Cricetulus griseus: one gene and its partner. The protein of the gene in region 2 interacts with the protein of the main gene of each other region in a pairwise test. Links are inferred from orthologs where the notes say so. Each region holds a gene or a part of one and is shown on either strand. Other genes may lie near its edges.

What was found.
Region 1: the proteins of protein N-terminal glutamine amidohydrolase (region 2) and Cdr2 interact in binary tests that used the Homo sapiens proteins (3 or more experiments, as listed by UniProt). The two-hybrid records come from large-scale screens. The link is inferred for Cricetulus griseus from reciprocal best matches to the Homo sapiens genes NTAQ1 and CDR2.

What each region holds. Positions count from the first base shown.
Region 1 is NC_048596.1:79,675,565-79,679,877, forward strand, and holds the start of Cdr2 (cerebellar degeneration-related protein 2), read left to right. Parts: upstream 1-1,483; 5' UTR 1,484-1,738; coding exon 1,739-1,814; intron 1,815-4,313.
Region 2 is NC_048603.1:29,479,101-29,482,747, reverse strand, and holds part of protein N-terminal glutamine amidohydrolase, read left to right. Parts: intron 1-1,131; coding exon 1,132-1,231; intron 1,232-2,607; coding exon 2,608-2,658; intron 2,659-3,647. UniProt on the Homo sapiens protein: Mediates the side-chain deamidation of N-terminal glutamine residues to glutamate, an important step in N-end rule pathway of protein degradation.

The DNA of each region.
Region 1 (4,313 bases), on a different chromosome or scaffold from region 2:
CCTCCCAGAACAACTTTACTGTAGGAAAAGGATGTGGTAATGCATGGTTTTTATCCCAGCACTCTGGAGGCTGAGTCAGTGGATTTCTGTGAGTTCCAGGTCAGCCTAATCTACATGTGTCTGGCCAGCTGGGGCTACACAGTGAGACTCTGTGCAAACAACAAAAATAAAACTTACACTGGGGAGGCTTTCTTGGCCTTCACCAGACCACTATCCCAGGAGCAAGCACTTAGTGTTACAATGATTTAAGCAAGGTTGATTTTATAACCCACAAGAATGAAGATGGGCTGGAGATGTAGCTTAGGGGTAGTGATTGTCTGGCATGTACGAGGCACTAGGTTCATCCTTAGCACTGAAAAAATAAATTAGGATGAAGTTTTCCTTTCTCCAAATTACCCAAGACCTTATTCGTTTATATGGAAAAACAAAAGTAGCTGAGGATCTGTAACTTCTACCTAGCAATTTCTCCTATTTTTAACCATAGTAATTTGTGTACTTTTTTTTTTTTTTTTTTTTTTTTGGATAACTGCTTTCCATCTTAGTTCTGGTGACACTCCGGATGTGTATGAAGGCGTTACTAACTTCAAGAGGTATCTAGCGACTCACTATTGCCAAAGCTAAACGTTGACTTCTCTCCCCTCACTTGTTATAATTCTTCTCGTTTCCTCCTTAGACATTATCTATTAGCTCTAACATCCTAACAGCTGCGCCGACCTTTCTCCGTTTTAGAGTTTTCACGTGAGGCACCCGAAGGTGCTAAAAGCTCAACCCAAGAAACAATTACGTCTGCGTCACCAAGCGGACACTGCCCTGCTGGCCACAAGTGCAATGCCTGCTCCCAGATGTTTACCTTGGGCTCTATGAACGTTTAAAAAATTATGCAAAACTGCTGGCAACTTTTGCCAAGGGAGGCGTTTCCCACGGGCCGGTCCCAGCCTTCGAATGTCAAGTGGTGCTGGTGACCGCCGTTTTAGGAGTTAATTGCCATCCCCCCAAACTCAGACATTCAGGAGCAGCTTAGGCTCAATAGCGTTCTCTCGGCCTTAACCTCGCGACGGACCCTGAATCTCCCTCCGCGCATCACCGAGGGCAAAGCCGAGGAGGGCTGTCCCGCTTTCGAAACCTTCGGTGGGAAAATGATGCCCACTGCCCAGAGCCGGGAGTCCTCCTCAGTTGGGTACAAGACACGCCAGGGAGCCGAGAGGGTCGCCGCAGCCGCCTCCACCAGGCTCCGGAACAGGAGTGTATTCACTGAGAAGACGAGACGCTAACAAAAGGGGCGGGGCTGCCGGCCGCACCCTCTCCGCCTTTACCCGCCTCCTTTGTTCCTTCCTGAGCGTCTATTGGCCAAAGACACTCGGGCCCGCGACCTTCTTTGAGATACTATTGGCTGAAGTCGCTGTCGCTCTACCAGGGACCCATTCGCAATTGGTCAAGGCGCCGCCCGGGTTTGAATCGTCTCCCCGGCCTGGGAGGGCTCTGCCAAAGTGCCACGTTGGGCCGGGCAGCGGGTGTGTGGTGCCGGCTGCGGGCGCCACCCGGGGTGCGCTCTCTAGGGCGCTGGCCGTTGGGCGGCGCGAGGCGGACGCGGGCCGGCGGCGGGAGTTGCGGCGGGGCCGGCGCGTCCCGCCCGAGGGCGGCTCTGGCTGAGGGCGGAGGGGCCGGGGGACAGCCCGGGGCAGCGGCCGAAACGGCACGGTGGCGGCAGAGCCCGCTGCCCCCGGACACCCCCAGCGACATGCTGGCAGATAACCTGGTGGAGGAGTTTGAGATAGAAGATGAACCGTGGTACGACCACCGGGACCTCCAACAAGGTGAGGGCGAGGTCGCCGGGGTTGGGGGGTGGAGGCCCGGCAGGCGACAGGTGTGGAAAGTACTAGAAAGTTCCTTAGGCTGGTGGTCTGGGATGCGCGGCCGGGGGCTCCTCACTCTCACCTGGCAGCGGATCCGCCCATCCCGGCCGCCGGGAGCAAGCGCGCGGCCCTCGGCCCTGCGGATGTGCAACGCTGGCTGATGCTCGGCGCTTTAAGAAAGCGCTTTCTCGGGGGATGAGCGGATCTATCTCCTTCGGGGACCTCTGAGGTGGGCAGGGGTGAACCAGTGTGCCCCGCTCTAGAAGCAAGCTGCTGACTCTGCTTCTGGTCCTGCTGCCCTGCTCGCCCTCATGCGCTTTTCATGGCCCGCAGAGTCTGCAAGCCGCTGCAGGTGGTGGGGGTGCAGTACCGCACAGCAGTGCGGTACCCGCGCCATCACTCTCTGAGAGTGATGTTTTGTTATCCCGTTTCCCAGAAAGCAGAAGCTGAGTTAGGTGGACTCCCTAAAGCCGAATATGGGAGCTAGTATTTTTGATCCCACGCACTCGGGATGAGGAGCCTGTAGACACTGTTCGGACCTTAGCACCCCAGTGTACAACTTACAATTGGGTGTCAAACTGTTTTGTTTTGATATATTACTTTGGCGTCGTTTATCGGGTGCCAAGTGAAATTATGTGAGAAGAGTTCTATTATGCCTTTTTTTTTTCATTCGGATTTTCAATTAGAAATTATCCTGCCTTGGCTTTCTTGATTGTGGCATCTCCTGAGAACAATCTCAGAGTGCCCTCAGTTAGAAGCCAGTGGCCCATTTTCTTGCACAATCGTAGTAGGATTTTTCGCTTGAGGACACTGATAGGCTCTTAACACAATGATGGGCGCCTTTAATTCTCCCAATAACATCATGTGTTGCCATAGGTTACCTCTGGCTCAAGTAGATACTGTTGGGGAAATGAGGTTTTCACTGCAGACTCCAGAGCAAACATTCTTAACCACCATTCAGAGTGATCACCAGGAATTCTTCCAAGCATCCTGTTTGTTCTATTCTAGAGAATTATTTCCACTCTAAACTTGTAGTGAAAATTATCATCTTTGAGTTGGCTATTAAACACGGCTACTTGTTCACAATTCCACTGAGTTTGATAGAAAAGAAAAATGTGGACTTGAATGACCCTTACTTAGAAAAGAGAAAAAGAAAACAGGTACCTCTCTGGACAGGTGGTAATTTGTTATTTATTTCTGTCTGTCTTGATCCCTTAATGTGCAACGACTTAAGCCCAGATGGATACCTGTACTTGTATAATTGAAGCTACCTAGCAGTTACAATGCCGATTTGCTATCACATTTCTCCATGTCCAGAAGACGAATGTGTCACATACTTAGCCTATTTCAGATTTGCCCCATAAGGATTGATGACCTACTTTGATACTTAAGGACTGAAGCAGTCATCATGCGATTGCAACATTCTACTATATGAAAGCAGTTCATATAATCCAAGCAAGAGATTTTGCTTTGCCATATTTAAGAAACATCCAAAATCTTCAAGGGTAGGCTGGTTATACTTGTCTAACATCATATATAACACTTCATAATAGAAATGTGATTTAATAATTGTTGCCCTGAATTGAAGCTCTCTCTCACACAGGATTACTGTTTTCACAGCTTTCCTCTAACCAGTGCCTACTCTAACCTGCTTCCCCAGAAAGTTGTCAGGACAACCAATTTTAATATCCCAATTTACTGAGCAATAAACAAAACACGTTTGGGACTATGTGTGGGATTCTTAACTTCGGATCAAAATGAAGTTGTCACATCTTCATGTTTAGCAAATCCTAATATCTGAACTTATTTACTGTCAATTTCCACTTGGAATTTCTCCTATACTTTCCAAAGCCTTTTACATCTGTTATCACAACAGTAGACTTTGCCATAGCTTAAACAGCATATGGAGTACTAATAGGAGACGTGAAATCCCAGCTGTTAGCTCGTCAGTATGCAGCTGAAAGAATAATGGCTGCTCTTTTGAGCATATTTTCTCCAATTTTGCTAACTTGTATGTTAAATGCTTTTGTGTATTTGGTATTCCAGGATTGTGTGCATGCAACATACCACTGAGCCATTCTAGAACTAAACTTTGAACAGAATTTACAACTGTTTCTCAAGAACATATTGTTTTCTCTATACTAGGTATTTTTGGTTTTTGTTGTTGTTGTTGTTGGGTTATTTTGGTTTTTTTGAGACAAGGTTTCTCTGTAGCTTTGGAACATATCCTGGAACTCATTCTGTAGACCAGGGCTGGTCTTGAACTCAGAGATTCGCTTGTCTCTGCTTCCCGAGCACTGGAATTAAAGGAGTACGCCACCACCACCTGGCTTTATACTAGGTATTCTTATAGGCAGTGGCACCACTATCCTAGCCAGCTATCTGTTAGGAAGGCAGGACTCCACTCGGGGGTTGCTGTTCATGAATCCATTCCCTGGAGACATTTGGAGGTGCTAGTAA
Region 2 (3,647 bases):
CCAAAGGGTGTTTGGAGCATCCTACCCCAAACCACCGTGACCTGCTGACTTTCTCCACTTAATCGGTGAAGAAGGAAAGATTTGGAGAGATCTCATGGGAAGGACAGGACTGACCCCGCCTGGCCTCTGCTTCCTGGTGCAGGCCCCCTGCTCTCTGCAGAACACTGCAGTATCTTCAGTTCTGGTGAACTCTCACTGTGCAGGGTGCCTGCGCTTAGGAGCGGGCTTCACACGCCTTCACCTTGACGTTGAGTGCTTGGAAACATGCATGCATGTATGTATGTAGTGTGTGTATGTATGTCTCTCATGTCTGTCTGTCTCTAATTATGCAATTAACAAGGCTCTAAACCACACATGGAGCGTGCCTGTAGTTCACAAGTACTCAAAAGGTCACCACAAGTTTGTGGCCAGTTTGGTCCACACATCGAGTTCCAGGTCAGCCAAGGTCTACATTATGAGACATTTGTCTCAAAAAGGGAGGAAGGAAGGAAGAGAGGGAGGGAGGGAGGGAAGGAGGGGACGCAGTCTGCATAAAGATGCCATCATATAGTTTGTCAGCTACAACTAAGGGACTAAATTCTATATCAAATCTAATTTAAAACATTCTGTCAAGAGCTTGGCGGTGGTGGTGCACGCCTTTAAGCCCAACATTCCAGAGGCAGAGGCAGGCAGATCTCTGAATTCAAGGCCAGCCTGGTCTACCGAGAGAGTTCCAGCATAGTTAGGTCAGTTACACAGAGAAACCCTGTCTTGATAACCAAAACAACCAAACAAAAAAGTCCTGTGACATTTCTCTATTAATTGGGATTTCTGGAGGGTTATGGTGTACGTGAAAACGTGCATTTTATAGAGGAGACAAGCGGTTCTTAGAGAAGACAGAATACAAAGCTGCTTTTCTTGTTAGTGTTGAGTTTGGATCCCAATGGTTTCTCAGCTTCTGGAATCCTGGCACACTCTTTTACAGGTCATAGTCTTCAGTGGGTGTGGTCCTCTGTCTGGATGCGTGCACAGTACAGGTTGGCTAGCAGCTTGTTGACTGTGCCTTAGAGGAGAGTCACTGTTACCCAGCTCTCTGATGAGGTGGTTAAGGTCCTTTCCAATGATATGGATTAAACAATTATTTTATTTTAGCGAGGAGAACATTTGGAAGCTCTGTGAATACATCAAAACCCATGACCAGTATCCCTTGGAAGAGTGTTCCGCTGTCTTCATATCAAATGAGAAGAAGATGGTAAGTTGGTGAGTGATGGCGGTGACATCAGAAGCTCAGCGCAGTCTGGAAGCTATTCTGTTCTCAAATGTGCTTTGTAACAGCAGCCTTTCAAACAGCTTTCTTTTTCTTCATTAGATTTGGTTCAGGAGAATTTGGTCCCTTGCTTGTAGGTAATGAAGTATGTAATGGCATGTTTATGTAGAATGCACAAGCAACTTGCTTTTTGCAACAGAGTCTCATAGTGTAGACCTTGGCTGACCTGGAACCCATTGTGTAGACCACGCTGGGCACAAACTTGTGGGGACCCTCTGAGTACTGGGTTTATAGGCATGCTCTGTGTCTAGCTTGGGGCTTTTTTAATTGTATAATTAAGCCATATAACTCTGATTTGAAGTAAAGATTTGTGTCTGAAGTTTGAATAGAGCTGGAGTAAACTTTCAGGGAGCATTAGAAGTAGCCCTTTGGGATTTCCAAACACTTTTGTGGACGTTGCCTCATTCGGGGCTCTTAGAAGTTCTATGAAATAGGCAGGGTCTAAACGACTTTCTCTGTTTTACTTTATTGACTTTACTTTTGTTTTGGAGACGGGTCGCATGTATCTCAGCCCACTAGCTTCACAGTCATCACATAGCTGAGGCTGGGATTTCAGGCACGAGCCTCCGTGACCTGCTAACTTTCTCCACCTAATCCGTGAAGAAGATGAGATGCAGAGAGGGCTCATGAGTAACTGAGGACTGACCCCGCCTGGCCTCTGCTTCCTGGTGCAGGCCCCTTGCTCTCTGGAGAACACTGCAGTATCTTCAGTTCTTGTGAACTCTCACTGTGCAGGGTGCCTGCGCGTAGGGTTTAGATTTTATTCTTTCACCTTGATTGCTTAGAAACAGAAACGTTTTTGACTTCAGAATTTAACTTAATTTATCTATTTATCCTGAAATTGGGTCTCACTATGTATCCCTGACTGGCTTCAAACTCAGAGGACCACCTACCTCTGCTTTTGAGTGTTGGGATTAAAGGCATGTGCAACTATGCCTGGCTAATTTTTTAAAATGTTTACAGGTGCTTTGCCTACATACAGGTCTGTGTACCTTGTGTGCACTGTGCCTGCAGAGGCCAGAAGAAGGGCTTGGATCCCTTGGACCTGGAGTTAGAGATGTCTATTAGCTACCATGTGGGTGCTGGGAGCATTCTGTCTTCTCCAGGAGCAGCCAGTGTGTGAGTTGCCATGTGGGTGCTGGGAGCAATCCTAGGTCTTCTCCAGGAGCGGCCAGTGTGTGAGATCTGCTGTCCCATCTCCCCAGTCCACTAAGGAATAGTTTATTACTTACTAGTGTATTGGTGGTATAAAGAATCTAGACGGGTTTGAATGAGACTCACGAATGTCCTCTGTTTTGTAGGTACCTATTTGGAAACAGCAGGCAAGACCTGGGAATGGACCTGTGATCTGGGTAAGCTGGCCACCTAAGAGCCTCTGATGCAGTGTTCCTTGTGGCCTCTGAGTAACCAGTATGCTGTGGTGAAGCAGAGTTGAAAGGACTCTAGAGAAAGGCCATGACAGTCATTAGTAAAAGGATCTTTTGAGAATGGATGTTATTCTGTCTGTGGCAGAAGCTCTGTGGACATATAGTTGTCTAACTTTTGTTTTGGGATCTATAATGGTTTGTGTGTGAAAAGTCCTCTACGGGCTTCTGTGTCTGAATTCCTGGTCCCTAGCTGGTGAATCTATTCTGTGAGGTTGTGGAGCCTCTGAGACCCGAGGCCTGGCTGGTACAAGCGTGTCAGTGGGAATGGGCCTTGAAGGTTGTACCTACTTGTGGTTATAGCCTGTGTTCTCCCAGACTGTTGTCATGTGAGGAACAATTGTCTCGTATTCCTGCTGCCATGAACAGTCACTCCCATCATGCCTTCCTCATAGGATTGGTAGACTGTAGGATTGGTAGACTGTAGGATTGGTAGGCTGTAGTTGGTAGACTGTAGGATTGGTAGACTGTAGTTAATAGACTGTAGTTGGTAGACTGTAGTTGGTAGACTGTAGTTGGTAGACTGTAGGATTGGTAGACTGTAGTTTAGACTGTAGTTGGTAGGCTGTAGGGTTGGTAGATTGTAGTTGGTAGACTGTAGTTGGTAGGCTGTAGGATTGGTAGGCTGTAGGATTGGAGAATGTAGTTGGTAGACTGTAGGATTGGTAGACTGTAGTTTAGACTGTAGTTGGTAGGCTGTAGGGTTGGTAGGCTGTAGGATTAGTAGACTGTAGTTGGTAGGCTATAGGATTGGTAGACTGTAGTTGGTAGACTGTAGGGTTGGTAGACTTGTGGGCTATCTGTACACAGTGTGAAGCTGTATTGCTGTGATTGGTGTCATAAAAAGCTGATTAGCCAGTAGCTAGGCAGGAGGTATAGGCAGGATTTCCTGGGAGAAAAAGGAAGAGGAGGAGGAA